4 linked regions of the Tamandua tetradactyla genome follow. The protein of the gene in region 3 purifies or fractionates together with the protein of the main gene of each other region. This does not show direct contact. Links are inferred from orthologs where the notes say so. Each region holds a gene or a part of one and is shown on either strand. Other genes may lie near its edges. The genes, in order: MBD1, DAXX, CBX5 and AHDC1.

Region 1 (7,313 bases), on a different chromosome or scaffold from region 3:
TAAATAAAAATAAGCACAAATAGCAACAAAAAATACATAAATGTTAATCTGCAAACTAAGTATACAAAGATTATAACACAAAATACAAGAATCAGAAATAAGTATATTAAAAACACAGATATGCAAATAGTTACAATCACACAGAACACAAAGTACAAGTAATCTATGTTGGAGACAATTTTCCATGGATCTCTTGCATTTCTGCATATCTTGCAGAAGAGACACTGATTGCCTTTTGTTATGGACTATCTTTTCAAGGATGTCTGTCAAAGACAGGGTCTCCTTCTAGAGCAAAAGGCATGTTTACTGTTCATTCTATAAAAAATCTGATTCCCTAAGCTTAAGGTTCATCTTCTATAACACACCCACTGCACGAGCATCTTTATATCACCCTGAGGGAAATGGGGTTCAGGGAACTGGTGCAAAAATGATGATGTTCTCGGTAATGTTGCTGCTGTGAATAATAAACTGTTTTCCATTTCTTAACCAAGAGTCTCTCTCTCCTACCAGCACCCACAGAACTGTGACACATTCACTTATTATATTATCCTATTACAGTAAACTTAGACTCTTCAATTTCTTGACAATTTCACTTACATTTACTTATTAGTTTTGAAAGTTTTATACAAGTAAGTAAACATTCAGATTGGCTTATAGCAGTACAAATAAAAAGTAAATGTCTTTATAATATTACTACGTTTTACTAGAACGCTGGCAACTCAGAAACAAAAAAAGTTCAAGAAGGATATAGAAAGTTAATAACTACATCACTAATATACTCTAAAGCATGTGTTTTGTTTATAACCATACATGCTTATATACTTACAAGCTGAATTATAATCCTACCTATACAACATCCCCCAACTCCACCCTACCCCTAACTAGGATCAGCCCTATCCCTGACTCTGCCCACAACCCACCCAAGTACCTCTGGTAATAGGTGTCTGAACGCCCACAGGTGGCCCCTGACTTGCGAAAGACCTCACGACGCTTCCAGCCAGGGCCCAGGGCTGGGCAATCCAGCCAGTCCTCAGCCATAGGAATCACAGGAAGGGGCAGCGGCCTACAAGGTAAGGTGGGCAAAGTGAGGTTCTAGGAAGAGAGGACCTGTGCTCTAGGCCACACATAGCCCTGGTATCCATTAAGATCTGCCCAGGAACTGTTAAATACAATTAGCCTATCAAAGGAAGAGAAAACCCTCCACTCTTACCCAATTCTTCCCTGTCCCAGGCCCACTTCTCCCCATTCTTGAACAGGTAGCCACTATTTTTCCTCATTCTTGAACCACAGGCCTTCATTCTTCCATCTGTGTTCTGATCTCCCCATCTTTACCTAAAACTGTCACTTCTCCCCATTGCCAACCCAGGAATCTTCCATTCTTTCCCTCATTCCTCCCCATTTCTCCCTGTCCTTGGCCTAGGACTATTCCCAATGACCTAAAGACCCCCAATTCTCCCCTTTGTCAGTCTGAAACCCCTGTATTCGCCATCTTTAGCCCAACAGGTCCCTATTTCCTCATCCCTAGGCAGAGTTCCTTAGTACTCTTAGTGTTTTAACCTCCCATTCCTTTACCTTCTTGAACTAGGAGTCCCCCAATTTCTTTCCTTCAGTGTTTCAACCCTCCCATCCTTCCCCTCTGCCTGGTTGCCTCTTAACCTTCTATCTCAGTGTTATGAGCTCGATTTCCTCTGCATTTCTGTTAAGAGAGCTCCCAACTCCAACATATCCTTAGCCTGCACAGCCTCCCCTTCCTCAGCCCCAAGCGTTCTCCTATTATTTTCCCTCCCCATCACTGTTCTGACCCAGTCTAAGCGGGAAAACCTCCCCATTCCTCTTCTCCACAGCCAACAAGTGCTTTACTACTCCCCTTCACTCTCGTATTCTCTGTTCCTCACTCATCAGCCTGGGACCCTGATTTCTCCCTTCAACATCTGACCACCCTTCCCTAATTCCTTTCCCTTCTCATCCTACGATGCAATCCCTAACTGATAGCGTCCTGAACCCCTATTCCTCCTCGTCCTCCATATGAGACCCCCGCTCCATTCCCTCCTTTTGCCACTCCGACGCTCCCACTCCTTCCGGTCATCTGACTGAGGGCCCCTTATTCTTCACTCTCAAGACTTCTGGACCCCATTCTGTCTCAAGCTGAGAGACCCCGATTTCTCCCCCTCAGGGTTCTGAACCGCTCCCTCCAGCCCCCATTTCTCTCTGTCCTTGTTCCAAGATCCCGACACTCCTACCGGTCAGCGTTCTTAGCCCCATTCCTCTCTAACCCCCGCCTGAAACCCCCCAATTTCTCTCCTTCAGTATTTCGATGCCGCCATTTCTCCCCCTCATCGGCATGAGGGCCCTTCATTACTCTCCGACAGCGTTCTGGGACCCAATTCCTCGCCATCCTCCGCCTGATGGCCCTCTACTTTCACCCGCACGGCTGTCTCACCAGCTCGGCGCCGGGCCGGTAGTTTCCGCCGCCCTAGGCCCACGGATCCATGGCGGGGTTCCCGCCCGCCCCTCCCGCCTTGCCCTACTCTTCTTCCTCCTCCGCAGCAGCCGCCTCCGAAGCTGTAGCTGTCGCCGCCGCGGCTGTTCGTTGCTCCCGGAACCGGAAATCCGCTGTCCGCCTCTCAGGCTCCGGCCCCAGAGAAACGCCTGCGCGCTGATGCCTCACCAGCGCGCGCCCTTAGATGGGAAGCTTCTACGCCTGCGTGCTGACGACCAAAGCGGCGCTCTCCCCTTCCTGGGGACCTGCTGCGCTGGCGCGCTGAGAACCCACAATTGGGCACGCCCCTCTCCTAGGTATATCCCGGGTCTACACGCTGATGTCCAGCTAGGCTCGCGCTTCTGTTTGGGATCTGCAGCGCCTGCGCTCCTCACTTTCCCAGCCGGCGCCTTCTTTTTCTCACTCCGCCCACTTCTTTTGCGCCTGCGCTCCAGATCTAAACCGAAGGGGGCGTGAAGGACTAAGGGTGCGCCTGCGCATCCGTCCAGCGGCGTGCTTCGTCTTCTGCCAGATGTTAACATCTAAGCTCTTGGTTCCCTTCAACTATTTACTCGAGTGCGCGAGCAAGAGGGGCGTGTCAGGGGCCGGGCTTACGCTTACGCACTCCCTTTCCCTGACAGTGCCCTCCTTTTCCACCTCTATCTGAGATCGCTCCTGTATTCCCCGGTCCCTCCAACCATCTCACCCTGGTCTGTTAAGTCTGGCACTCTCCTCCCTCGGACACTAGTTATGCGGCGATCAGATCCCAGCTCCTTTCGCGATAACACTGGGAAAGGGATGGTGCCGCAATACAGGTAAAACAGTGGGCATACACCATGCAACCGAATGAGGGCGTGCCCGGTACCCAAAAGCCATTCTGTGGGGCCATAATATACTTCACAACGGGTGACAGCGGAGCTGGGACTTCCATCAAAAACCGAACGGGTTCCTCAAGTCTCAAGAAGAGTTTACGGGGGGGGGGGGGGGGGGAGCAAGGAGGCCTTGCATCCACCGTCGAATACACCTCTGGTCTGGAGAATATTAACGTTCACACAGTAGCTGGTAAGTCAGCCACACACTGAATGAGCGCTGACTATACCCAGTGTCCCAACAACAGAATGTGAACAGGTTACTGTCGCCAACAGCCCAAGGGGTTCCTGAAGATCAGCTTAAGGGCCAACCGCATGCTTGCTCACTACACATGTACTGCAGCCCCTCCTGAGTATACAGGTGTGTCACTGCCCATCTTCTCAGGGATTGGGGAATGCAGTTTCAGCCACAGACGAGTTTAGAGGTCATCAGGAATTCTCTTCCTTGCTTCTTCCAAATTTTATTAACAAAACTCAGTGAGGAGGGAGGGAGGATAACATGGGCAGACTCCATGGTCTGACCCAGGCACAGAGGATGTAGAAACAAAGGGATAAGACAAATCCAAGGGGAAATACTGAGATCCTCTGGTCAGGGCAGATGGGCAGTCAAATGATGGATGGGCAGAAGTAGAAACTCAGGGACCGTCGCAGAAACAGATGAATGAAGAAACAGACATATGGAGAATTCAGAGTGGCTCCCCGCCTGGAATGCAGGGTGTGAAGGGACCTGGGCAGGTGAGGCTCAGCGGTCAGCACTGGAACGGAGGTCAGTAGTGAGTGGGTCATGCTGGATCGTTTGGTGCAACATCAGGGCCAGCAACCCTGCCCGGTTTGTCATGGCTGTGCGCACATTGCGCTCTTGCTCAAACAGCTCATCTAGCTTGTACCACTGTAGGAAAAATGTGGGGCCATGAAACGGGGCTCCTGAAGCCCTGCCTCTCCCCACATCCAGCCCCAAAACCTACCACGCGCACACGTTCCAGATCCACTTCAGCACGCCGTAACTTCTCCCAACAGTAATGCCGGTTGCACTGACGCTTGGGTAGGCGGCAGAAGTCACCTGTGAGCTCAAAGACATCACGTACAAGGGGACACCCACATACCTCATCGGCTGGCACCTGCAGGGAGACCAGGGTTGGGGATGGAAGGTGGTAAGGCAAGGAGGAAGGTAAGAATGGGGTTGGTCAAGGAGGGAGGAGGAAAAGAATGAAGAACAGAAAGTAGGGAAGAGTGGGGAGGCAGGAAAAAGGGGAGGAATAGAGGACAATGACTACAAAGTAGAAGAATACAGATTGCTCAGGCAGGGAGGTGGGAAGTCAAGCAAAGAAGATGAAGAAGGGTCTGTGAGGAAAGCAAGAATGGAGGATGGTCTGGGAAGACAGGGAAGAATGGAAGATGATGAGGCAGGAAAAAAGTTAAGAATAGAGGCAGTGAGGAAGGAAAAAGGAATGAAGGGTGATGAGGTGAGGGATACTGGGAGGAATAGGGGGGTGAGGAGGCAGGGAAAATGGGTAGAATGGAAGGTGGTCAGGTAAGAAAAAGGGAAGGAAGGTAGGAAAGTCAGGAAAGAAGGGATGAATGTGGGGCAGAAAGGCAGGGAAAGAATTGGAGATGATGAAGGGAAACCTTACTTTGGGGTCGCGTGAATGCTCAGGGCACAGCACCTGAAGTCGTTTACAGTATGTCTTACTCTGAGGATTGTAGACATCACAAAAGAGTCGCGTGGCCCTAAGGGTTTGGAGCAGAGAGAGAGTGGTGGAGGGAAAGAAGGAAGACCCCACCTAACCTTGCCCATGCCCATGTCCTGCCCCATCTTCACTCACATTCCACTCCTGACTCCAACTACAACCCCTTTCTAACTCCACGTGGCGCCCACACTCACCCCTCAATGCGTGTGGGGTACATGGACCCAAAGGACGTCTGGCTCTCGTACTGGAGGGATGAGCACAAATGGACGGAAGTGTGGATGTGTGCTGCATGCCCTCCCAAAACAATACCCAGAAAACAAATTCTATCTCCCAAGGGCCCACTGATATTCCCACACCAACTGCCCCCTCAGGCTGACACCCTGACCTTGGCATAACAGCGCTCCATGTGGCGCAAGGCAACACGTGGGTTGATGGGGTGCCCACAGGAGACACAGAAGATCTGCAGGTCTGTATCATCACTGTCACCCTCGTTGCTCTGCATGGGGTGGAAGAAACGATGAGACCAAGCAGGACCAAATGCTGAACCCTGCCCTGCTGTGCCCACACTTGCTCACCTCCTCATCCTCACGCACAGCCTGCTGCTTGGCACGTAGAATGATGGCCTCAAGCTCATGGAATCGGCGCTCCATTTCCTGAAGGCGGGTGCGGGCACTCTGCTGCTCACGACGAATGCGTTCAAGCAGCTTCTTGCCATGCTCCTCAGCAATGCAAGGGCTCTGCTGCCACTGTTGGATGCGCTGGGGCAGGATCTCATAGATGCGGCTGCAGGGTGGCAGTGGGTGAGATGCAGGCATAAAAGGTAGTAAGCAACAAGATGCATAAGTGGGGTGGTGGTCAGAGGATGGCAAAATGGCAAAGTGACTAAATGGTGGATAGGTGGAAGGAAGGATGAGTAGGTAGGTGGATAGGCGGGTATTTGGTTGACTGAATAGTGGACAGGTGACTCATCAGTAGACACATAGATGACTTACTTGGCTGCCAACTTCATGCCGCAGTCATCTGAGCAATACTTGGAACCAGGCTGGGCAGGACGTACACAACCAGGTCCCAGGCACTGTGGTAGTGATGCAGGATCCTTAGCATCTGGCCGCTCAGGGTGTTTCCATTTGTCCTTGTGCTTCTGCTTCTGCCGATGTCGCTTATATCTCTCCTCTTTCTGTAGGGCAAGGCAGGTGAGATCAAAGTAGGGTCGAGTCAGCCCCAGAACCTTGCTCCCCCTCCATTCCACCCTTTTCCTTCTCAGAGGAAGCCCCTGACCTCTGGCTTCCTGAAGCCCATTCTACCCACTCCATCACCTTTTTCTCAGACTTCTTCTCCCGACGCTTCACATGCTTCACTTTTACTGCTCTCTTCCGCAGTGCAGGGTCCAGGAATGGGGACTCCTCTGTGTCACTCATCCAGGGCTGCAAGTGGAGGCATGAAGAGACCTCTCTGCCCCACTTACGACAACCCCATCAACTACTCATTTCCAAATCGGCCTTCCATTCCTTCTATTCTCTCTCCCCTTACTATGAATACTCTCTGCTTCTGTAACCCACACCCTTCCACCACAGGATACTCCAGCCTGCTCACCAGGCCGTGGTCATCAAAGGCTCCTGCACAGAAGTCCTGATACAGGTCTGGATCCAGTGGTAGGTCCTCGTCAGAGAGTGGCTCAGGTGTGGCTGTAGCCTCAGGTGGCTCCTTGATTGTTGATGATACCATTGCTCCTTCATCCTCACGGATGCGTCCCAGCTTCTGTGATGGCTGTGGCTGCTGTTGGGTGGGCAGTGGGCGGCGGGGCCTTGGCAAGGACTCTGAGGGCGTCACTGGCGAGAGCTGAGGGGCAGAATCTCAGGACTGGCCCTGACCGCCCTGCCCGCATGCCCCGCCCCACCCTGGGGGGCTGGACTCACCGAGGTAGGGAAGTACTTGTACGATTCCTGTGCCGGCAGGAGGAAGGCCCAGGTCAGCCCCAGGTGGATAGGGGGTGGCCCCACCCTAGCCCCCTCCCACAAGTGCCTGTCCCACCCACCTAGCTCTGCCTTGCCTCCCCAGACATAACTGGTTCCAGCCCTCCCACCAAGACATGCTCAACCCTGTTCCAATTGCCCTGACAGTTCAAACACCTAGAAATACCTGGTCCCACCTACCCACTCAAACATACCCAAGACTGGGGGGAGGGGGGACCCTGCTACCAGCCCAGCACACCTGGTCATGCCACATCAATTTGGACATGCCAAGCTCCTTCTCACTTGCCTGGATACAAACAGACCC
Region 2 (7,450 bases), on a different chromosome or scaffold from region 3:
CACCAGAATCAAACCTGGGTCTCCAGCATGGCAGGCAAGAACTCTGCCTGAGAAGCCACCATGGCCCGCCCAACACCCCTCAATATTGACATTCCATTGTTCTTCCTCATGCAAAAACATTATTTAATTTTTACATTTAGCCACTGTCATTGTACATTCTAAGCATTCCTAGATTATACCACCTCAGTCTTTATTGTCTATCTTTCCTTCTGCAAACCCTTGATCTTGAGGCTTGCTTTTATGAAGCCTATTTCTGTAGTGGAGAAACTAAATCTACCTATGGTTATGCCTTAGAGTTACTTCCAGAAAACCTCTTTTGTTGCTCAGATGTGGCCTCTCTTTCTTTCTCTAAGCCCAACTCTGTAATGGAAAATTATTACCTTCCCCCCTCCATGACACCCAGTGGTCAAAGCTTCCCTGGGAATGTGGGACATGACTCCTAGGGATGAGCCTGGCCCTGGCATTGTAGGATTGACAATGCCTTCCTGACCAAAAGGGGGGAAAAATGTTACAAAATAAGATAATAGTATATAAGAAAGTTCAAATATAGTTGAGAAGCTATTCTGGAGGCTACTCTTATGCTACCTTTAGCTAGAAATTGCTAATTAGCAGGGTTTGCCAAACCCCAACCAAAACCATTCCTGTTAAACCTAAAGAACACCTAGGGCTTTAGTGGAGATTCTACAAAAGTTTCATACTCTAAGATTATTTTCCAGAAATCTACGACCTCCAGATGGTTTCCTAGGCCAGATAAGTCCTGAAATCCAGAGAGCAGCTTCTCCAATAACAGCAAGTAGTTCCATCTCCCATCCTATATTATTGAAACTCCTTTCCAACATGAAAAAGTTAGAGTAGGCATAGCCCAAATACCCCTAAAGATTGGGAGAAGAATCAGAAGAGAAGAAAGAGTTATAACAAAGAAGATGGAATTTAACAAATGAATTATATACTGATGCTTCTTTCAGTCTCCAGTGTCTTGGAGCAGCTAGGAATAAAACTCTAAAATTGTGGAATTGTAACCCATACCAAACTCTGAAATCTGTTCTTTAGCTACTTGTTACAATGTACTTTGAAATTTATTGTTTTCTGTATCTGTTATATTTCATAATAAAAATATTTTTTAAAAAAAGGAGGTTTGGGTAAGGTAGCCCTGGGTCCATAAAGCCTATTCATAACCCTTCTTTCACACTGCAGAGGCCTTAAGTTCAGAAGACAGTGCTCTACATTTTAACTAAACGTGTCAGCCACTGGAGACGTGAGTGTGTGTGTGTGTGTGTGTGTGTGTGTGTGTGTGTGTGTAGGATATGTCTGTACAGAAGAGACCTGGCTGCTTGCCACCACCCTTCTCAGATAGTTGTGCCCCTCCCACATACACACTGTTAAACTGGAAGGGGCTGCAGAAGCCATCTAAAGATCTAGTCCCTTCCTAGACTGTCAGAGGCTTACATTAGTTCATTAGGTCCACTTGCTTACCTCCTATATGTAGGGTTCTAAGGCCCTGAGCCTAGAGATCCAGAATGATTTGGGCAGTTCAGCTGCCTGTTCTTTACAGCTTGCATGTTGGATCTTCAGTTTCCAAACCACAGAACCATAGGACAATAAAACTGGACAGGACTTAGGGATCTGGACTACACGATCCCTAAAGTGCTGTCCAGTTTTACTGTCCTATGATTCTGTGGTTTGCATTGGATGATTCCTGTTCACATTGCACTGGATGATTAAATGACTGTTCCCAAAGGCTCAGAGCCTCTTCTTTCCTTTCTCCTTCTTGGGTGAGGGAATTCGGGTCATGGTAGACAGGTGCAGAACTCATGGCCAGCACCACAGTCTGCCTTAATCCCGGGAGTGCTGAGCCAAGGCTTCCATCCCAGACTCCCTAATTCAGCCAGCTGTCAGACTGTGGGTCAGGATGGCAGAAGAAGAAGGCAATGTGGATGAGGAAGATGTGTTCCTGGCATTTGCCCATGGTCCAACTCCAACCAGGGGTCCTGTGTGTCGGGCCTTGGACAAGGCTTTATTTATCTTCCTGGCCCTTTTTTTGGCACTGCTGATGCTGGAGGCTGCCTATAAATTGCTGTGGCCACTACCTTGGGCAAAATTTGGGGACTGGCTCCTGGGCACACCTGAGAAGGAGGAGGAGCTGGAATTGTGACCACCTTTCCATAAATATCCTTTTTCTCTGCCACGGAGGTGAGAGGGGAGACAGGAGGGAAATGGGAGTGTAGGGGGCTGCAAAATGGCTACTTGGATAGCTCAGAGCAGTCTTAAAATATTTGCATTACGCTCCCTGAAATAATTTTGAAAGTCAATACTTCCTCACATATTAAACCACCCTTTTGTTTTTATTTTAAAATGCAAATATTTCCAATATGCCAAGAATTACATCCTTGAAACAATTTTAATTTATAATGAAAAATTTTAGCTGCCTATTTAAAGGTATGTGAGGAAATATTAACTTTTTCAAAATTATTGAAATACCATAGCAACTTGAAACCCACAAGCACCCATTAAAAAATACATTAAGAAGTTTTTCTTTAGCAGTTGAGAATCTGCTTTTCCTTTCTTCATTATCTCCTTTTCTCCATGAACTACTATTACCATTCTACTACCCCATTCCCAGATAATTTTATATTTTTATACTTGAAAGTCTCTTATCGATCAACCTATATACTTTAATGCATGTATATATACATTAATTAAAATGAAAAATATTTTTCTTTCTTGTGACTATAAGCTCTAGATGTTGACAATTTTTCTTCTGGGTTGGGTTATTACAATTATTATTAGAATAAAATTGATCAAAGCAACATAAAGATTTTGCAAATTTTTATAATTATTAAAAGTAAAAAAAATACATGTCTAATGGAATAGACAAAGTGGCATTTACAGCTTTGATAAAGGAAATAGGTTACCTGTCTCTTTGAGACAGAGTAATATTACCCCAAGTGATTTCATGATTGAAAGCTATACTTCCTTTTCTTTTGAGGAAGAAAGTGTATTGAAAAGGAGAAGGGATGAAGGGAAACCTCTATTGCAGGGGCTTACTCAGGAAGACTAGTTTTGGGAAAGTTGAGGATTTGGACATTAAACCCTTTAAATCTTCCATTTCTGAATACCCTTTGGGGGGTTTTCAAGTTTCCCATTTTGAAGACTATAGGTTTAAAAAACTGGAGATAAGTAGTATGTGGGATTCTTTAATGGGCGGAGGCTTTAAAGTTCTGGGATTCTGATGGCACGGGGGACGTAAGGACCTCTGCAGTCCTGGAAAGTGGAAAAATGCCCACTTGTGGAATGCGCAAGCATGTAGGTGGGAAGTTCAGAGACTGGGGCGATGTTAACTTAACCAGGAAAAATATCTGGTTTCCCCATAAATTCAACTCTGGACCCCGCCCTGGCTCCATCAGTCTCTCAGGCCTTCCTAACGCCGGGCGAGGTTGGGGCGGGGGTAAGGTGGGTGTCACAGGCGGTTTCTTTTCCTTCGTTCTTTCCTCAGCTCTCCCAGAGGAAAAGGAGACTAGACCCGAGGTTTTTCACAAGCCTCATTTCGTCTCACAACCCTCACAGTGGATTTGCACAGATTCCCCTCAAAGCTGCCGCACCATCGTTCATCCTCAGGCCCTGGGGCTCTTCCACAAAGCACAGCCTCCTGGTCAGCACCGCCCGCGCTTCGGGGACCCCCAAGAGAGGGACGGAGAACCACCAGGTCCCATCTGCTTAATTTCTGTGGAGCTTGAAAAGCAAAGCAACAGCAATAATAACAATAACAATCCTATAGCGCGTTGTGCTCATTTGTATGCTTGTATTATGATCTCACGATTGGGAGATGTAGGCATCTTGATGTAGAAGTAGCTGCTGGACAGCGGCAAGGGAGCGCTCAGCTCTTGGAAGGGGAGGGGCTGGCACGGCTGATTATGCTGTGCACATGGTACCTGGGAGATACGAAAGCAAGGCCGGAAGGCTTAATAGCCTAGCGGAAGGAAAAGGTTTCATTTCCATCTTAAGAGACCCCCATCCCTCCGTGACTCCTGAGCAGCCTTGAAGAACTTAACTCCTTATCCATCCTGTTCCATCCCCGCGTGCCCTCCCCCAGTTGGAAAGGTGGCTTAATCCTCCCTGCACGCTACTCGCTGCCGATTGTGCCCGAGGCAGGAAGTTTCTGATTGGCGGAGTCGCAGAAGCACCGGGTGAAAAGAGATCAGCTGGCCGCGCTGAGCCAGCGCCGTACGGCAAAATGGTAGTTCCCGGGTGCTTTAGGACGCCCTGCAGGGACAAAACCCCGCCCCCTACAGATCACAGGAAAGGGAACCGCAGACAACCTGGGCGGCACTCGGAGGTCCCGGGTGGAAGGCGTACAGTTACTTCCGGCCACAGGAAAACAGGTTTCCGTACGACAAGATGGCCGCCACTAGGTGCATGTAGGCGGAAACTCGGCGGCTTCCGGTCCTGAGTGGGGCCCGCGGTGGGAGGGGGAAGGAAGGCGGAGGGAACCATGCGAGGTTCTGAGATCCGCGGCGAGGGTCGCCTCGAGAGACCGTTTCTGAGGTGGGGGCCGGACGGTGTGGGGAGTGGGGGCGGGGATATCGGGGGACAGGTAGTGGGGAGGCCCGGGCTCTGAACCTGAAGGGCAAGCTGTGGTACCTTCCTATGCTTGAGGGGGAGCGGGGTGGCTAGGAGCTGAACTGGGGGAGGGGGACTTGGCGGGAAGCTCACCCAGGGAAGGACCCGACCCAAGGTTGGGATGAGAGGAATCGGGAGAGCCCAGTGCGGGGCTCACGAGCAGTTACGGGTCACTGAGAGAAAATGGGGGAAATTAGAGTGGGGTGAGAGGAAGGGGATTCGTGGTGAAATATCTCCTGTGGGTTCGAGGGGACCTATTAGAGGTTGAAATATAGAGATAATTCAAGGAGGAGAAAGGGTTGTTGGAAGGGTCCATCTTTTACCTGCAGGGTCTGGGAGTTAGGCTGATAATTCAGGATGGGGTGGAGGTACAGATTTTACGTGTTTGATGGCAAAAGGGGAAAAAACACCTGGGGTGGCGCCGATGGGGGTGTGGTATCAGCAAGGTGGTGTCAAAGAAATCTGGGATCCAGTGTGGGAGGTGGTCCTGGGGCTGGGATGAAGAATCAACTTGCCAACTGTGAGAAAACAGTGGAGAAATGCAAGGAAGAGACCGGAAATCGGCTTGAGGGGTGGAGCTGGGGGTGGGGACTTAAGGTTTGGCGGTGGTTTGGGGCCCCAATAGGTGAAGGACATGAAAAGCATATGAAACTAATGGTTGCTGAAAATAAGCAGTGAGGAGTTGGGCAGGGCTGAGTGTAATTGAAACCCAAGAAGATTGGAAATGTGTGAGATGAAGGGATGGGGCTGTGCTGGAGGGGCTCTTTCTAAGGCCCCATCCCCTTCCAGCAGGATTTCCGAAATCCCCAACACTTCCACCCTCCGGGGGATTTGATCCCCCATGGCCACCGCTAACAGCATCATCGTGCTGGATGATGATGACGAAGATGAAGCAGCTGCTCAGCCAGGTCCCTCCCACCCACCCCCCAGTCTGGCCTCACGCCAGGCAGAAGCCCCTGGCTCCTCCGAGCCCCGTGGGGCTGGAGGAAGCAGTAGTTCGGGCGGCAAGAAATGCTACAAGTTGGAGAATGAGAAGCTGTTTGAAGAGGTGAGCTTTAGGGGAGAAGATTCGTGTATCTCAGGGAGGGGGATGGCTGATTGGCTCATCTGTCCTTTCTTTCCCATTAATCCCACGCTCCCTTTTTTCTCTCAACCCCCTCCCTTGTCTCTTTCCCCTTCCCTCTCTCCCTGTACCCTCCAGTTCCTTGAACTGTGTAAGAAGCAGACGGCGGACCACCCTGAGGTGGTCCCATTCCTCTCTAACCGGCAGCAGCGTGCCCATTCTCTGTTTTTGGCCTCAGCGGAATTCTGCAACATCCTCTCTCGGGTCCTGTCTCGGGCCCAGAGCCGGCCAGCTAAGCTCTATGTCTACATCAATGAGCTCTGCACTGTTCTCAAGGCTCACTCATCCAAGAAGAAGCTGAACCTGGCCCCTGCTACCACCACCTCTGTTGAGCCCTCTGGGGATAACCCTGCCACAAACCCCTCTTCGGAACCCACAAATGCTGAGACCTCTGCCTCTGAGGCCCCAAGGACCCGTGGTTCCCGGCGGCAGATCCAGCGCTTGGAGCAGCTGCTGGCGCTCTATGTGGCAGAGATCCGACGGCTGCAGGAGAAGGAGCTGGATCTCTCAGAACTGGACGACCCGGATTCCACATACCTGCAGGAATCTCGGTTAAAGCGTAAGCTGATCCGCCTCTTTGGGCGCTTATGTGAACTGAAAGACTGCTCTTCACTCACAGGCCGTGTCATAGAGCAGCGCATCCCCTACCGTGGCACCCGCTACCCAGAGGTTAACAGGCGCATTGAGCGGCTCATCAACAAACCAGGGCCTGATACTTTTCCTGACTATGGAGATGTACTAAAGGCCGTAGAGAAGGCAGCTGCTCGCCACAGTCTCGGCCTCCCCCGACAGCAGCTCCAGCTCATGGCTCAGGATGCCTTCCGAGATGTGGGCATCAGGTTACAGGAACGACGTCACCTCGATCTCATCTATAACTTCGGCTGCCATCTCACAGATGACTATAGGCCAGGTAGGAGGTTAGCAGGATGCCTATCAGTGACCCTTATATGTCAGGTGTGTGGCCGAAGGGGCAACTCTCTAGTCCTTCCTTCTAGTGTTTGAGTTTAGTTCTCTGACTTTATATTTTCCCACATAGGCATTGACCCCGCACTGTCAGATCCTGCCCTGGCCCGGCGCCTTCGGGAAAACCGAAGTTTGGCCATGAGCCGGCTAGATGAGGTCATCTCCAAATACGCAATGATGCAAGAAAAGAGCGAGGAGGGTGAGAGACAGAAGAGAAGAGCCCGGCTTCCCCAAGGCGCTTCTTCCCACTCTGCAGACTCCCCCAAACCCTCCTTGGATTCTGGCGAGGTATGGGAGGGACATTCCCTCCAGAGAGGCTATAGCCACCCTTGTACTAGCCACCCAGAAGTCCAGGGTGATTGATGGGGTAAAGTGCAGAAGGAAATCAAAGACTGGAACCTCTGGGGCAAGTGATTCCTTAGAGAAACTCCTTCGTCCCCAGGGCCCTAGTGGAATAGCATCCCAGGAGTGCCCTACCACCTCCAAGGCTGAGACAGATGAGGAAGAAGATGAGGAAAGTGATGAAGAGATGGAAGAAGAGGAAGAAGAGGAGGAGGTTACAGATTCTGAAGAGGAGGATCTGGAACAGATGCAGGAAGGTCAGGGGGATGATGAAGAGGAGGAGGAGGAGGAAACAGGTATGTTAGGGAAACATTCTCGCCAAATGTTAGTTTCCTCTACTCTATTGGCCATAAGCTATCTGTTTGAGACCCTTCCCTTCCTCCTCTTTTCCCCTAGCACCCCCTC
Region 3 (6,900 bases):
ATCCTCCTCAGAAGACTTTGTTCCCTGGATACCTTTCCCTCCCTTCAGCACTATTGTCAAGGACTCTCAGAATTTCCAGAACTCTCCCAGACATATAAAAATCCAGTCACTTCAGATGTTCCTTCTTTCTCTTTCCCCAACCATTATCCTGTTCACTATCTAGATAGAAGCTTTCTACTTATTAGCTTTCAGACAGATCAGGGAAAATGTGTTATTTTTCCCTTGTAGTGAATAAACCTTTTAGGTATTGCTTTGTATGCCTTAAAGCTAAGCACAAGTGTTTGAAGAATCCACTCAGAGAGGAATCTACGGACGTGGCACAATTTGGTTATCTATTTTTCATATCAAAGTTTTGGTGGGGGTTTTCCCCCCACCAAAACTGTGGTTCTATACATGGTGATAAGCTGTGAAATCAAATCAGTTCAGTAGAAAAATGGAACTTCATTTTTTACTAAATGTAATAGTATACTATAAATGAGAAATATCAGAGTGCTTTGCCCATGTATTTAGTAGAACTTGTGTACATGGACAGTGTAAAATGTATTTCTTTCTAAGTAAACATATTTCTTTTCTAAAATGTATTAAAAAGTTTTGGAGTCATTGATCAAAAAGATTCTCAGGAAAGAGGCTTAAATCAAGTGAAAACCTAAGAACCATCTATAATTTATGATTATTTTAGGAAGTCCAACAAACACAAAATATAATTAACCAATATGTTTAAAATGTAATAATCGTAAAAACCTGAACGAAATTTTCCTTTTATCCAATGGAACACTGATCAAGACTATCGGAAGAGATTATCCAAGAGCTAATTACTAGGATTTAGTGCTCCATTTACCACCAAAGGCCACTCCCTAAACACTTCAGCCACTTCTTCCCTCCTTTACCTAATTTCAAATTGTTAAAATGTTTTGACAATTCTAGCATCTGCCATATTTTAGAGCACTGATTTTCCACAGGGGAAGATTTTGAGCCCCATCTCCACCCCTCAAGACATCGGACAATGTCTAGAGACATTGTGATTGTTGCAATTTGGGGTAGGGTGAGAAGCTACTGTATTTTAGTGGGTAGAGGCCAGGCATGCTGCTAAACATCCTTCAATGCTCAAGACAGCCCTCTACAGCAAAGAATTACCCAGCTCAAAATGTCTTGTGCTGAGGCTGAATTTGAGATCAAAATAGTATTCCTTTCAAACCTAAACAAACTGGAGACAAATATCCTTAACCTCACTTCAGTTCTTAAAAAGAAAGCAGCTGCATCATTATCATACATACAATTAGGTTTGCGACCATAAAATAAACACCTTGAAGGAAATATAATCAAAAGGCAATGAATTATCTGTTTAATGGATCTTCCTTTCCCCAACAGTCTAAATATCATTCTCCTTAACTTCCTTATACAAATACAAAAATTCTCAAAAAGAACAGCAAAAAGAGGTGTTCAAAAATCTCTAGGGTTGTAAAAAATCTCTAGGGGCACTCCTCAGAAAAAAACTAAGATAAAGGACAGGGTCATGGATAATCCTTATAAAGCACTTAGCATTATGCTTAGCCCTACTAAGTACTCAAAAAAAAGTTACTTATTTTCATACCGAAAAATCACCTTAGTTAAGGGGAAAACAACACTCTTTAGAGGTTGAAAAGGGGTGGTGAGAAGTAGGTGATTATGACTGGAATACCAAAAAAAAAAAAAACCAACTGCATTTATTTTTTATTTTATTTAATTTTGGTAACATATATACAAACAATTTCTCATTTTAACCACTTTCATGTGCACAATTCAAACAATTACATTCACAATATTATGCTACCATTACCATCATATCCATGACATACCTTTATTTTTGTAAATTTAACTTTAAATTCCAAATTATTGTCCCTGCGAAGATTTAAACACTAGGGATAAACACTTAAGTGCCCACGGACCAACCCAACCCGCCCTATCCCACCGTGTTCCAAGAGATAAATAACATACTTTGGTGTCTAGCTTTCCAAAAACTTTTTCCATGGATTTATAAACGTATCTAATTTGTCCGTAAAATATGCATTATTATTTTGTAGATGTATCTCGATGTCTTTCCATAACTGTATACAGAGATGTATCTTATTCGTTTTAGCATTTTGTCAGTCTTCCTAAAGAAGCGAATTCCCAAAGTCAAAAGGCCTCCACGGCTCCCCCCAAAACCTAAAAAGTGGTGGACGATGGGGTGAAAAAAATACCAACAAACGTATGGTTTCCCTACCAAGCAAGTGAATGGGATGGAGATCTAAACTAGCATTCATTAGAAAAGACATTGTGGATAAAATACCCACTCTCGCACGCCATCACTAGCATTGATCCCCCTTCCTTGCACCCCCAAATCTCAGCCCTCCCTCTCTTGGTACGCTGATTGGACCACCAGCCCGAGCGCTTTCCTTAGGCTGTCTGCCTACTGGTTCCAGATCTGGTCCATCCATGTAGCCGCCCGACTCCCACATTCCCCATTGGAGTCGAACGGCTGCCTCTTGCAGAAGCCCAACCTACCGCGCGCTTCCTACTCATTGGCTCAGTGAAACGCTGCTCAGGAGGCGAAAACCCGTCTCCCACATTCCGATGGCCCAAAGACCGATCAGTCAGTAGGTAAAGGGAGAGCCAATAGGTCTATATACCCGCCAGTCAAACTCTTCAGCTGCCCAACTCTAAAACCCTACAGGGCTAAAACATCCCGCCCCCTGATCTTCTATTGGTTAGCTGGGCCCACCGCTCCCCCTTCCCTAACCCCCACCCCGCGATCCATTCATTTCACACAATAACGGGCCCAACTGGAGTCGGTTCAAGACCTCGTATGGCTAGACTAGATTGTCTGCCACTTACCCGGGATGTAGAGCGATCACTCACGCTAACGTCTTCTCTATCCCTCTGTGGTGAGGTCCGACTACTGGCCACAGCTGCCGCCGCCTTCTGCGCAACGCCAACCGCCCGCCAAAACGGATCCTTTCCTGCGCCTGCGCGACCAATCCTGGGACCGGACCCTTTCTCCGCCCATTGCGCCTGCGCAAAAAGGGGCAAAAAAACTCCCGCCATTACGCAGGCGCTCTAGGGTCAACGCCCTCTCCCGTCCGCCATTTCGCGTGTTCCAAGCGGCAGCCGGAACTTCTTAATGCGCCTGCGTAAACTCGCCATTTTCTTACACATGCGCTTTGAAGGGGGTTGGTGCAAAAAAAAAGGTACATGTTAACTACCTGTCTTAATACAGTATGAAGCGTGATTTTCCAAGTCAATCGAATGTAATAACTGGGGTGTTAATAATTAAAAAGCATTTTAAACAGTCTATGTACGTTCAAATATGAATGACTGGTAGGCTAGCCAATCAGACAGGTTAAGAATAATATTACTCAGGAACCAATGGATTCTAAGGGGAGGAGCTGCGTAGAACGCCCAAACGGATGACGTTGCATAGCAATGCGGCAAGACAGGCCAATCGTAGAAAGAAGTAATTTCAGATATCCAATCATAGCTAAGAGGGGGCGGAACCCACCAATGCTGAAAGTGAGGAGGCGGGATAAAAGGGAGAGGCAGAAGGTAGGTTGGCATATAGTTTCGTTAGCTTACTCCTTTCTGCTCTTGGACGCCGCTGGGGAAGCATCGTTGAAGTCATTCCTCTCACTGCCGTCATGTCCAAGTCAGAGGTAAATTCTCTTTTCAACTTCACTGTCTCTATCGACCTTTCCTAAGTTCTTTAGGATTCGGCTTCGTTTCGGTGCTTGCAGCAGCCCATCCAACGATTCCTTCCGTAGCTGCCAGGGCCTACCCCTCCCAAAGTTCGGGTCGCCATTTTGTCCTCGTCGTCGCCATGAGGCCGGTTTCCGGCAACCATTACTTATTACAACGGGCTCATGCTAACGCCTGGTAAAATACTTAGATCTGTCCAATCTTTTTGGTTTTGTTTAAGCTTGTCTCGGCGTTCTAATTTCTTGACAATTTTTCGTCCCTTACTGGCGACGCACCCCTCCCGCCCCCTGCTTTTGTTGCGCGTGCGTCGGGAGGAGAATAGGGACGCATGCGCTTATGGCCTTCCATCCGCAACAAGCCGTCCCTGAGAGGGAAAAGCACATGGTTTGTCGCGGCTTGAAAGAACAATAAGTGCAATGTATGCTAGCGGCTAATTTTGCCCCTCCTGTCTGTAAGATTTCCACTTGATACTTATCCACTCACTCCTAGTCTCCTAAAGAGCCTGAACAGCTGCGGAAGCTCTTCATCGGAGGGTTAAGCTTTGAAACAACCGATGAAAGTCTGAGGAGCCATTTTGAGCAATGGGGAACGCTCACGGACTGTGTGGTAAGACTTGGAAGGGGTAAAAAGGGTAGTAAAACCTGGTAGATGTCCTAGGGCTACACTGTTAATTTGAATGCCTATGAAGTTAATAGGATTAGTGTTTTTAAATAGATTGGTCAAGGAAGGTGTGGCTTTTTGTTAATGACTTAATTAAGGTCTCTTTTTAAAAATCTAGGGTGGTGGGAAACGAGAGTTTTATGGTCTCCCTACTATAAACTTGCCTGTTAAACGTAATCAACGTTTGACAGTTTCTGGGAACTTTAAGTCAATTAAAACCTTTCTCAGGTAATGAGAGATCCAAACACCAAACGCTCCCGAGGCTTTGGGTTTGTCACCTACGCCACTGTGGAGGAGGTGGATGCAGCCATGAATGCAAGGCCACATAAAGTGGATGGAAGAGTTGTGGAACCAAAGAGGGCTGTCTCAAGAGAAGTAAGTGTGTTTTACTTTCCTTAGTCATTTGGAAATGTGTTATTAGATGTTTCAGATTTGTGAGAGTTGTGGGATTTTTTTTTAAGTAACTGACAAGGTTTTCTTCCGGTTAGGATTCTCAAAGACCAGGTGCCCACTTAACTGTGAAAAAGATCTTTGTTGGTGGCATTAAAGAAGACACTGAAGAACATCACCTAAGAGATTATTTTGAGCAGTATGGGAAAATTGAAGTGATTGAAATCATGACCGACCGAGGCAGTGGCAAGAAGAGAGGCTTTGCTTTTGTAACCTTTGACGACCATGACTCTGTGGATAAGATTGTCAGTAAGTATCAGATGACTGAGACTAAGAGTTCCAAAATCCATGTGTTCCTTAGGGTCACCTTTTTATCTTTTCTGTTTTTAGTTCAGAAATACCATACTGTGAATGGCCATAACTGTGAAGTAAGGAAAGCCCTGTCTAAGCAAGAGATGGCCAGTGCTTCATCCAGCCAAAGAGGTCTGTGTTACTTAATTCAACCTTATTAAGTAATTCTGAGTAATCTCAATTTGTATGGCTTAACGTTTTCTTTCCTTACAAGGTCGAAGTGGTTCTGGAAACTTCGGTGGTGGTCGTGGAGGTGGTTTTGGTGGGAATGACAACTTTGGTCGTGGAGGAAATTTCAGTGGTCGTGGTATGTATGGTTGAAGTTTACTAAGAATAAGCTTGTGATTTAATTAACTCAGATAAGTGGTAGTATGTATCTACTGGCCTTTATTTTCAAAGTTACTAATTTATCCAAATGTAGTGCTTGTTTCTCCTTAACCAAAAGTTTAAAACCCTTTGGCATAGAAATTATAGTTTCTTTTTCAGAATAAGTGGTTCATATACTCAAGCCTAATTGTATTAACATTCTGCTTTCTTCTAGGTGGTTTTGGTGGCAGCCGAGGTGGTGGTGGATATGGTGGCAGTGGGGATGGCTATAATGGCTTTGGTAATGATGGTGAGTTTTAATTTAAGGAATATGTGGGTAACCTGTTTTAGATTAGGATAGTAGAGGCTAACACTAGTGCGGGACAACTTCAGTTGTCACCATAAACTGCATGTTGTGAGTGAGCCTTTGTGCTTACACAGATTTTAATAGTTGAATACTTAGAGAAGAATTGTATTCTTGTAGGTGGTTATGGAGGAGGCGGCCCTGGTTACTCTGGAGGAAGCAGAGGCTATGGAAGTGGTGGACAGGGTTATGGCAACCAGGGCAGTGGCTATGGCGGGAGTGGCAGCTATGACAGCTATAACAACGGAGGCGGCTTTGGCGGTGGTAGTGGTAGGTATCCAGTGATCAAAGTATTTGGTGTGAGGGCTAGACTAGCCTCTTAGTTTATAGCTATATTGGGATTTGATGCTCTTAAAAGGCATTAGATGATCTGCTGCATGGTATGTTTTTAAATGGGCTTGCTGTGCTACCTCCTCCTAGCTTTAAGCTGGGGCCGCCTCACTCACAAATAGATAAGTGGATAGTGATGTCTTCAGCTGGAGTTAGATTAGCTTCCATAGCAGGGTTGTATTTTAACTCTCCTTTGGGAACTTAGGTACTGGTTGAGTAATCCAAGAAAGCTGCTTATAGTGATTCAATGCCACTATAAAAACTCTGAAATCTTTTAGGTTATGGTAATTGGAACTATCTAAAGTACTGGATTGGTCAACTGAATGCCTTACCCAGAGAAGATGAAATAACAAGGATGACCAGAGCTTGGTAGTCGGGCAAATGATAAACCTTGTTTCACTTCAGAACACTAAACAGACAAAGGACTTGTTTTCTTTCCTAGGAAGCAATTTTGGAGGTGGTGGAAACTACAATGATTTTGGCAGTTACAACAATCAGTCTTCAAATTTTGGACCCATGAAGGGAGGAAATTTTGGAGGCAGAAGTTCTGGCCCCTATGGTGGTGGAGGCCAATATTTTGCCAAACCACGAAACCAAGGTATGATACAAACCTGTAGTATTGGAAGAATTAAGTATAGCTGTGCCTAGTATTGATAAGGGATGCCTTGAAGTTTTGTTTTCTTTTGTCTTATCTTTAACACAAGGTAGTATGCATAGGCTTAAAAACTTGCCTTATATATTAAAAGCTCAGATTTTAAGTATACTTGAAATGGAAAATGAACCTGTTT
Region 4 (7,796 bases), on a different chromosome or scaffold from region 3:
ACGTATGCATCCCACTGCTCCATGGAGCAGCGTGGCAGAGCATGATACTGACCCTGTGTCAGGTCCAGGGAGGACACCATGCAGATAAGGGTCTAGAGTGGCCTCATACATGCCAAGGATTGTACTTGTAAAAGAACATTTATGAATTCCACACTTAACTGATACTGCCTGTAGGCCAGTCCTGTCCAGGAGGCAGAACAGCTAACAATTATAACTCTCAGGGGCAAGGTCAGTTTGGGGGCCAAGGGAGGCTTCTTCGAGGATGTGAAAGAAAAGTCTGCCTAATGAAGCAGTCAGTGGATGGAGGCATCTTCTGGTGCGGGAACAGCATGTGCAAAGGTATAGAGGAGCAAGGGCCATTCAGACAAGTTCAGGAAATTACGTATGTGAAGGCCAAGGGTGAAGATAAGCCTGGAAGAAGGTTGGAGGGTCAGAAGGAAGGGGGCAAGGTAAAAGGTAGGAGGGGAATAACAAAGGGGCAGACCCCCATGTTGCAGGAAAAGTCAGAAATCCAGAAGTCCAGGACCCATTTCACAAGAGTCTGTCCTGGATCTCACTGTTCCAGTAGAATGCTGGTTGGATCTTCTATCCATTCCAGTAATTCCCTCCTGTGTATAGGGTCCAAGATTTCACCCCTTCCCCTGGCCCATCCACAACCCCAAGCCTGGACCATCCTGCAGTGATGTTCACTCTCCCTCTAGTGTCCACTCTGGGTACTACACCACAAACTGCAGGAAACTCCCCAGGGATGGTACGTCCCTTCAAAACTTTCCCACCGCAGCATAGTTTCTGCCCTCAACACACTGGTGGTGGTGGTAGGGGAGTGTGGCATGAGAAGCAAACACAGGTAGAAAATGGTAGTGCAGGGTGTGTTGTGAGAGCAGGGGAGGGTCCTAACTCAGTTGGATAGGGTCCAGTGATGCTTCAGAGGAGGTGATGCTCCACTCAAGACTTAAAAAAAGAGTAGGAGTTTACTTGGTAAGGAGGGAGAGAAAGACATTCCAGACTTGATGGGGAATTAAGTGAGCAAAGCTCAGAGGCAGGATGTAGGGCTGCCCAGAGTTACAATCAGACAGGTGTGACTGGAGTATAAAATCTGATGGGGTTAAGGGTTGAAGATGAAGAAGGAGAGGTAGGCATGGGCCTTGCCTGCCATGCATGGGGGATGTGACTCCAAATCTTGGGCAATGGGAAGCCACCGAAGTGTTATGAGCAGGGGAGTACAAGGTCAAATTCTTTCAGAAGGAACTCTCTGGCGACCAAAGAAGGAGGAAGAATGAGAGGGAAAGAGGCAGGAGAGGGACATTTCTCTTAGGTACAAAGACCCATACCATATCACACTTAGGACGACACATAGCTTTGGCCAGGCCTGTGAACCAGATATGTCAATACACGCAATAACACAGACTGAGCACCCACAGACAAACATGGATGTTTTCATATACACTCATCCACATAACTCAGGTCCATGAATGGAAACTGAGAACACACAAATTTCTCCCTGGATAGCAGGAGCCATCACACACACCCTGATGGACACAGGAATTCTCACATGCGGTGTAGCTGTCAAGGGCCCTACCCTGCCCCCCTCTGTCTCCTCTGGGTCCCTCATCACCTCCGGCAGGAACAAAGCTGACCTTTGCCCTCTGGCCTCTGGCCTCTCCTCCCACACCCCCTGCCCAGAGGGAGGAGCTGTTTGAAGTCTGGGCTGCAGCTGGGGTTTCCTGTTGCCTGGAGGAATGTGGGAGGACTTGCAGGGGGAAGGGAGAAGGGCCTGCCAGGAAGGAGGGATAATGAGGGCCTGAGCCCCCACTTTCCCACAATGAAGGGGGCTTTCTGCTTTCATGGTTTCTGGACCCCAGCTCTGAGCTGCTCCCATTCAGAGGTGGGGAAGCTGGGGCCACAATGGCTTCAGTCCAAGGTGCTTCTTGTTCTTTGATCTGCAGCTCAGTGACTCGGGGCGGGCCCTCAACCTCTCTAGGCCTCAGTCTCCCTTTCTGTGAACTGGGCTGACTCACTCTCTAGCAATGCACATCTCCCCTGAGGCAGCCCCAATAAGGAGACTAGTCCCAGCATTTCCTGTAGTTGGGGACTCCCGGGTGGGGTGGGGGTGGGGTGGCAGGGGAGTGCAGCGCCTGTTGCTACCAAAAGCCCATTTCACTCTGCCCCAGCCTCTCGGTGACTGTCATTATTATCATGATGCAATAATCCCTCACTGTGCCCTTGTCAGTTTTCAAAGTGTTTTCACACCCATGTGCCCAGTTAATTTTCCCAATTGCCCTATCTGTAGACAGTAAAGGGACCACTACCTCTATTTTGCATGTGGAAACTGAGACTCAGGTGAAAACACACCCAGCAAGTAAAATTATCAGAACCAGGTCTGTCTCCCTCCAAACCCTGAGGCGTACACCTTTATAATCTAAACTCTCACCCATATTCCCTGAAGTACAGCTATGCCACCTTCTGCTCACATATCAAAAGCGGTTGGAGTGAGCTGGGCCTGAAAGGGATGATGAAGGCATTCTAGAACCTGGGTCCCCTTAAGTCTCCTTTCTCCTGGAGTTTACAATTGTCCTGCCCAACTGTGGTGACCTGGAACCCTGTTTTAAAGAACTGGGTTAAAGAACTGGGAACCCTTTTAGCCTACACTTTCAGAGCAGACACAGAGTTAGGTCACTAGGTGGCAGCAGCAGCCCACAGGAAGACTATGAGCTTGCAGATCCCTCCACCACCACCCCCCAACACAATTTAGAGAGGCTCCAAGAGAAAGACGAGCCCCCCAAACGACAGGGAAAACCTGTAATGCTTGGGTTCCAGGATATCCAACATTTTGGAGGCTAAAAGAACCCACTTTTTCTTGGGAGGGGACAACTGAAGCAGCCCGGGACAGGAAGGTTGTGCTTGGAAAATCCCATCTAACTTCATGCATCCAGTTTTGGGTCCTACTACCTCTCCCTCTGCACCTCATCACTTAAGCCTCTGATGGTTTTAACTAGTGCTTCCTGACCATATAATTCTCATGTTCAATGAATAAATCTTTGAACCCAAGGTCCGTCTTGTCTGCAAAGGGAAGCTGCTTGCATGCCAGCCCCAAGATACTAAATCAATAGTGGTACAGCTTAGAACCTTAGACCTCTTCTGCTGCAGTCCCACCCCCCTCCTTAGGAAGGACCAATAGTAAGTGCTCCCCAGACTCCCTCTTTTGTCCTCTGGGGAGACTAGGTTGTCTTAGAGGAGGGTAAGACTACAAGGCTTGGGAGAGGTGGAAGTGTGGGGAAGGTGGTACTAGGGAGCTGCAGTTAGCAAAATGTCAAGACATGTCTTTGTCACACGTTGGTCTTCACTTTGCAGGACCAAAGGAGGAGTCAGAAACAGGTGGACTCAGGACAAAGGTGCTGCCAGAGTAACTTCAGACACAGAGCAAGACAGACAAAGCCAGCAGACAGGGAGCAAAGGAATGTCAAGCACACGGACGAGGTGGGGCAAGCATAGGACCAGTCAGGGCACGGTTGGTAGACATTGAGGATAGGACAGCGACCATGCATTATTCATTTCCGTGTCCGCTGCAAGCCCTGCATACCTCAGTTAACATTTGTTGAATTGAAGTGCCAAGAGAGGACACACAGACGCAGAAGAGAAGGTCAGGCAGAGAGTAACAACTCCCTGCCTCGTGTATTTAGCCCAGGAGTCAAGCACATGGGCTTTGGAATCAGCTGGGTTCCACCTTTTCCTAATTGTCATCACTTCCTTAATGCCCTCATCTCTAAAATGGAAATGATAATAACAGTACCATTTCAGCCGGTTGTTGCAAGACTCAAGAGCCCTGCGGTGCCCAGTAAATGGCAGCCGCGGCAATTCTCCTTCCCGGGCTGTCCTGCCGCCTCCCCATGGTAACCAGGCCCTCAGCAGCAGCAGTGCACATTCCCATCGGCGGGGTAGGCCAGGCGGGGGGCCCTGAGGCAGGGGCTGGATAACAGATGTGACCTGAAGAAGACGTAGGTGAAAGTGCTGAGCCCAGCCCCCAGCCGCAGCAGGGGCTCCGAACTGTTGAATCTGAATCCTGTTTCCAGATACATTGTAAACGCTCAGTCGAATTCTGCAAGGTGGGGGCAGGGGCAGGGGCAGGGGGAAGTGTGGGGGGGTGGTTATCTGTGGATGAATCAGGTTTTTTGCGCACTCCCCGCCCTTGGGCTTTTAGAAAAACTAGGCTTTGGAGGGCCTAAAGCGGCAGCTCAGAGCTTGAAATGGGGCGGGGGCGGAGGGTGGTCACTAGGTGGAAAGGGGGAGCTGACTGGGGCTTTGAGGTTTCCTCAGCGGCCCTCCCGCCATAAGCCCTGGCGCTTTACTCAATAGGTAACCTATTCAGAAAAGGAGCTCGTCCCCAAATTCAGAGAGCCGGTCCTTCCCTCTCTCTTCTTCTCCTCCAATTTAATTTCGGTGCCTCAGAAAGCCGCAGCCCCTTTGGTTGCGCCCCCTATTCTCTATTCGAGTCCCATTCCGTCCCCAGACCCCGCCCCTTCGCCACCACCCGCAACTCCGCTCCAGCCAGAGCACCCCGGCGGAGACACGGGACGTGGAGAACATTCCCAATCTTTGGGGAGGGTCGGCGCCCCTCAGTAAGCCCGAACGCGCTCCCACTGGAGGCGCCGGGGCGCTAGGGTTCGCCGCCAGCTCCGGACCGCGCCGTCGGAGCTGCCCGCTAGGCCCCGCCCGCCCCGAGCGCCGCGCGGCCGGGGCGAGGACTACAAGTCCCGGCGTGCCGTGCGCGCGCTCCCCCCTGGGGTTCCGGATGGTGAGCGGTGAAGGTAAGGCGAGCTCGCAGAGGCAGCGGCGGCGGCAGCGGAGACGGAGAGAAGCAGGCAGGCAGGGCGAGGGCGAGAGACGGAGGGAGGGAGCGAGCGAGGCAGACCAGACAGACAGACAGGCGGGCGGGCGGGCAGAGCGAGCCACCCGCCAGGCTGCGCTCAGCCCCGCTCGCAGCCGAGAGAGCAGAAGGCAGGAGGAGGGAGGGGAGGAGGCGGAGGGAGGGAGAGAGGGAATCCAGCTACCACCACCCAAAGCCAGCGTCTGCTTTCTGTCCTCATTTCCTTTTCCCACCCAGCTCGGAGAGCAGAGAAAGGCAGAGAGAGCGAGAGATAGAGATAGTCAGAGAGAGACAGACAGACAGCCAGAGAGAGCGGGAGGGAGGAGGGCGGAGGAGGAGGAGCAGAGAAGCAGGAGGACTACGCGGGGCGCGTTCCCTCCCAGGTTTGCAATTGGGGAGGTGGGGGCGGGGGTGTCCAGGGCTGTGAGAGTGTGTGCGCGGTGGGGGGGAACGAGGGGGGGCGCAGAGAGAGCGAAGGAGTGATCGAGGTGGGGGGGGGCGCCGCGGGAGCGGGGGGCCGTGTCCAGCGGAGTTAGCGGCGGAGAATGTGAACCCAGGCGCGAGCCATGCTGTCAGCGACGGCGGGCGGCTCAGGGCTCCTCCACGACTCCTCTCCCCAGCAGCCGGGCGCCCGCGTCGCTGCCGCCGCCGGAAGACGGACGCCCCCCAAAGCCCTCCGCCTGGCTCGGACCCACGGAGCCGGCAGCCCAGCACTCCGGTGAGTGGCGCCTCTTCCCCAACCCCAGTCCCTCACTGGGGACCCGCCGGTTGGGCTCTTTTGTACAGCGCACCAGGGGGGACCCCGCGCCCCCTCCGCGCCCCTCGGTCGGGTCAGCCGGACCCGGTGGCTGCGGTGCCCGCGGTGCGATCGGTCTTTGTTTCCGCCGGGGCCCGCGGCTCGGCTGGGCTCGGCTCGAAGCCTGGCAGGCAGCGCCGGGAAGGGGGAGGGGGAGGCGGACGGGGAGGGGGGGTTGGGAGGGGGGGTTCTCGGGTTTCCTGGCCGCCCCACGGCTCCCCAGGCTCGGGGGCGAGGTGCGCGCCCAGCGCTGCCGCGCGCCCCCTCCTCCTTCCCCCTCCCTCCGCCTTTGGATTTAAAACTGCAATTTGCTCTCCAGCTTGCTGGGAATGGGGGGGGATGAAGGGGGGACCGTGGGAGCGGAGAACAAGGCTGGATTTTAGGATCGGCGTTGGAGAGACGGGAGACTGCGGAGAGAGGAGCCCCTCCCCTTCAATCCCTAAATCCCAAGGTTCCGCTGGTGCTTTGGGAGTTGAGGGGCGGGGACCTAATGACCCGGAGGGGTTGTGGGGCGGAGGAGGCTTTTGGGGGCGGCCAAAGCCGGAGGGTTTGGGCCGCGTGCCCGGTTACCTGGCGAACAAAGTCGGCTCACTTTTGCATAAATAAATAAATAATCGCCTATCAATGCGTTTCCTCTGGGGCCCTGATTGAATCGGTCCCCTCTTCCCCAGGGGGTGGGGTGCTGAGTGACAGCTGTCAGCCCCCTGGGCCCGAGCTGGGGGTAAATTGCTGAATCCCTCTGCTTTCTGGCTGAAGGCGCCTTCCCATGCTGGGTCTGGGTCCCCCGGCAGAGCCAGAGGGGCAGGGGGCTGGCTCTGAGTCTAGGAAATAACCTTGTTTCCTGTTCTACAGGAAAAGGGACAGCAACCCAGAGTTTGGGGGCTGGATATGAGGTCTGATGGGAGTTGGGGGGGTGCCCCAGCAGCCTGACCCCCCCCCAGCCTCCTGCCAGGCATAGGGGTCAGCTGAGGGAGGAAGGATGTGGGCCTTGCTGGCCGGAGGCGGGAGCTGGGGCTGTCCCTGAGGCAGGCAGCGGGCACCGAGAGGGAGGAGGGAGAGAGAAGCGGGGGCGGGAATTCTCTACCGCAGACCCTGGGGGCCAGGGCCAGATGTGGAGGGGTGGGGAGTCCCCCTCCCGCCCAGCTTGGGGGCCCTGGGGCTGGGCTGGGAGGGGCTGAGCCTAGTGCCCTCAGTTCTGCACCAGTGCCTGACTGGCAGGGCCAGCTGAATTCGAGCCCAGGCGTCACCCTGGGAGGCAGGGCAGTGCTGCACCAGCGTGGGTCCCTGAACACGAGGAGGGACCTTTGGGGGGCCTGTGCCCGTCTGGCTGGGCAGGCGTTTCCCGCCGGACCAGTTGGTGTCAGGCGGGACTTGGCCCCAGCTCCCTGGGCAGAGCTCAGGGTATGAGGACAAGCTTTGCCTCCGGGTCAGGGTGGCCACATTTTGTCCGCTGCTGCTGCCGCTGCTGGCGGGGCGGGGGCATGTGCCCAGGCCTGGGCAGAATCCTGCCAGGAGCATTTGGGGTGTTTCTATTGTTGGCTTGTTCCAGTTCTATGTGGCCCGTGCGTCTGCGGCTGGGTGAGCTGGGCTGGGAGTGAAAGATCACCAGTCCGTCCACCCCTCCCATGGCTCCTGGCTTGGAGGTGCCAGGCTGGGTTGTGGTGGTGAGCTGTTGTAGGGGGAACCCCCCAGGTGGCATATACATGCCTCTTGCCATCTCCCTCCTTTGAACAGATGTATATTTATTTTTATAGTAATGGAAAATCAAACTGGATAGTAAGTCAAATTTATTTTTTTATCCTGCTATGTCAATAGTTGGAGTAACCCCCAGGGACTGGTGAACTTCTCACCCGAGTTTCCCACCCTTCAGAGGATGCAAAGACCCAGGAGGGGATGGGCTTTGGGGGACCAGTGGGCATGAGTCCAAACCAGTGACCCTTTTCTTCCTTGTAGTCAGACATTGCCCCTCCCTGGGTACTCCCCCCACACACACACACCCCAGGGTCTAGTCTGGACTCTCGGCCACCTCCCTGGTCGGTGCCTAAGCTGTGCCCAAGCCCTCAAGGGACATTCCCTGGTGGGCTCTTTCCCCCCGCCTGGGCTCCCAGCCCACGTGCTGATATTTATTTTCTGTAA

The links.
Region 1: the proteins of CBX5 (region 3) and MBD1 purify together in Homo sapiens (affinity purification with western blotting; 3 studies listed by BioGRID and IntAct, with this or other methods). This does not show direct contact. The link is inferred for Tamandua tetradactyla from reciprocal best matches to the Homo sapiens genes CBX5 and MBD1.
Region 2: the proteins of CBX5 (region 3) and DAXX purify together in Homo sapiens (affinity purification with mass spectrometry; 3 studies listed by BioGRID and IntAct, with this or other methods). This does not show direct contact. The link is inferred for Tamandua tetradactyla from reciprocal best matches to the Homo sapiens genes CBX5 and DAXX.
Region 4: the proteins of CBX5 (region 3) and AHDC1 purify together in Homo sapiens (affinity purification with mass spectrometry; 3 studies listed by BioGRID and IntAct, with this or other methods). This does not show direct contact. The link is inferred for Tamandua tetradactyla from reciprocal best matches to the Homo sapiens genes CBX5 and AHDC1.

What each region holds. Positions count from the first base shown.
Region 1 is NC_135344.1:32,380,169-32,387,481, reverse strand, and holds the start of MBD1 (methyl-CpG-binding domain protein 1), read right to left. Parts: upstream 3,013-7,313; 5' UTR 2,441-3,012; intron 1,064-2,440; 5' UTR 1,039-1,063; coding exon 929-1,038; intron 1-928. Other genes in the region: CXXC1 (CXXC-type zinc finger protein 1), read right to left, coding at 4,091-4,237, 4,314-4,466, 4,980-5,076, 5,231-5,280, 5,422-5,532, 5,612-5,819, 6,029-6,213, 6,353-6,460 and 2 more. UniProt on the Homo sapiens protein: Transcriptional repressor that binds CpG islands in promoters where the DNA is methylated at position 5 of cytosine within CpG dinucleotides. Binding is abolished by the presence of 7-mG that is produced by DNA damage by methylmethanesulfonate (MMS).
Region 2 is NC_135331.1:89,253,936-89,261,385, reverse strand, and holds the start of DAXX (death domain-associated protein 6), read left to right. Parts: upstream 1-4,436; 5' UTR 4,437-4,542; intron 4,543-4,588; exon of another isoform or gene 4,589-4,634; intron 4,635-5,406; 5' UTR 5,407-5,458; coding exon 5,459-5,665; intron 5,666-5,818; coding exon 5,819-6,650; intron 6,651-6,776; coding exon 6,777-6,991; intron 6,992-7,145; coding exon 7,146-7,341; intron 7,342-7,450. Other genes in the region: SMIM40 (small integral membrane protein 40), read left to right, coding at 1,910-2,152. UniProt on the Homo sapiens protein: Transcription corepressor known to repress transcriptional potential of several sumoylated transcription factors. Down-regulates basal and activated transcription.
Region 3 is NC_135333.1:115,670,125-115,677,024, forward strand, and holds the start of CBX5 (chromobox protein homolog 5), read right to left. Parts: upstream 3,001-6,900; 5' UTR 2,854-3,000; intron 1-2,853. Other genes in the region: HNRNPA1 (heterogeneous nuclear ribonucleoprotein A1), read left to right, coding at 3,654-3,668, 4,201-4,317, 4,600-4,746, 4,860-5,070, 5,152-5,244, 5,327-5,419, 5,654-5,728, 5,903-6,052 and 1 more. UniProt on the Homo sapiens protein: Component of heterochromatin that recognizes and binds histone H3 tails methylated at 'Lys-9' (H3K9me), leading to epigenetic repression. In contrast, it is excluded from chromatin when 'Tyr-41' of histone H3 is phosphorylated (H3Y41ph).
Region 4 is NC_135328.1:198,675,591-198,683,386, forward strand, and holds the start of AHDC1 (transcription factor Gibbin), read left to right. Parts: upstream 1-4,787; 5' UTR 4,788-4,805; exon of another isoform or gene 4,806-5,247; intron 5,248-5,484; 5' UTR 5,485-5,582; intron 5,583-7,796. UniProt on the Homo sapiens protein: Transcription factor required for the proper patterning of the epidermis, which plays a key role in early epithelial morphogenesis. Directly binds promoter and enhancer regions and acts by maintaining local enhancer-promoter chromatin architecture.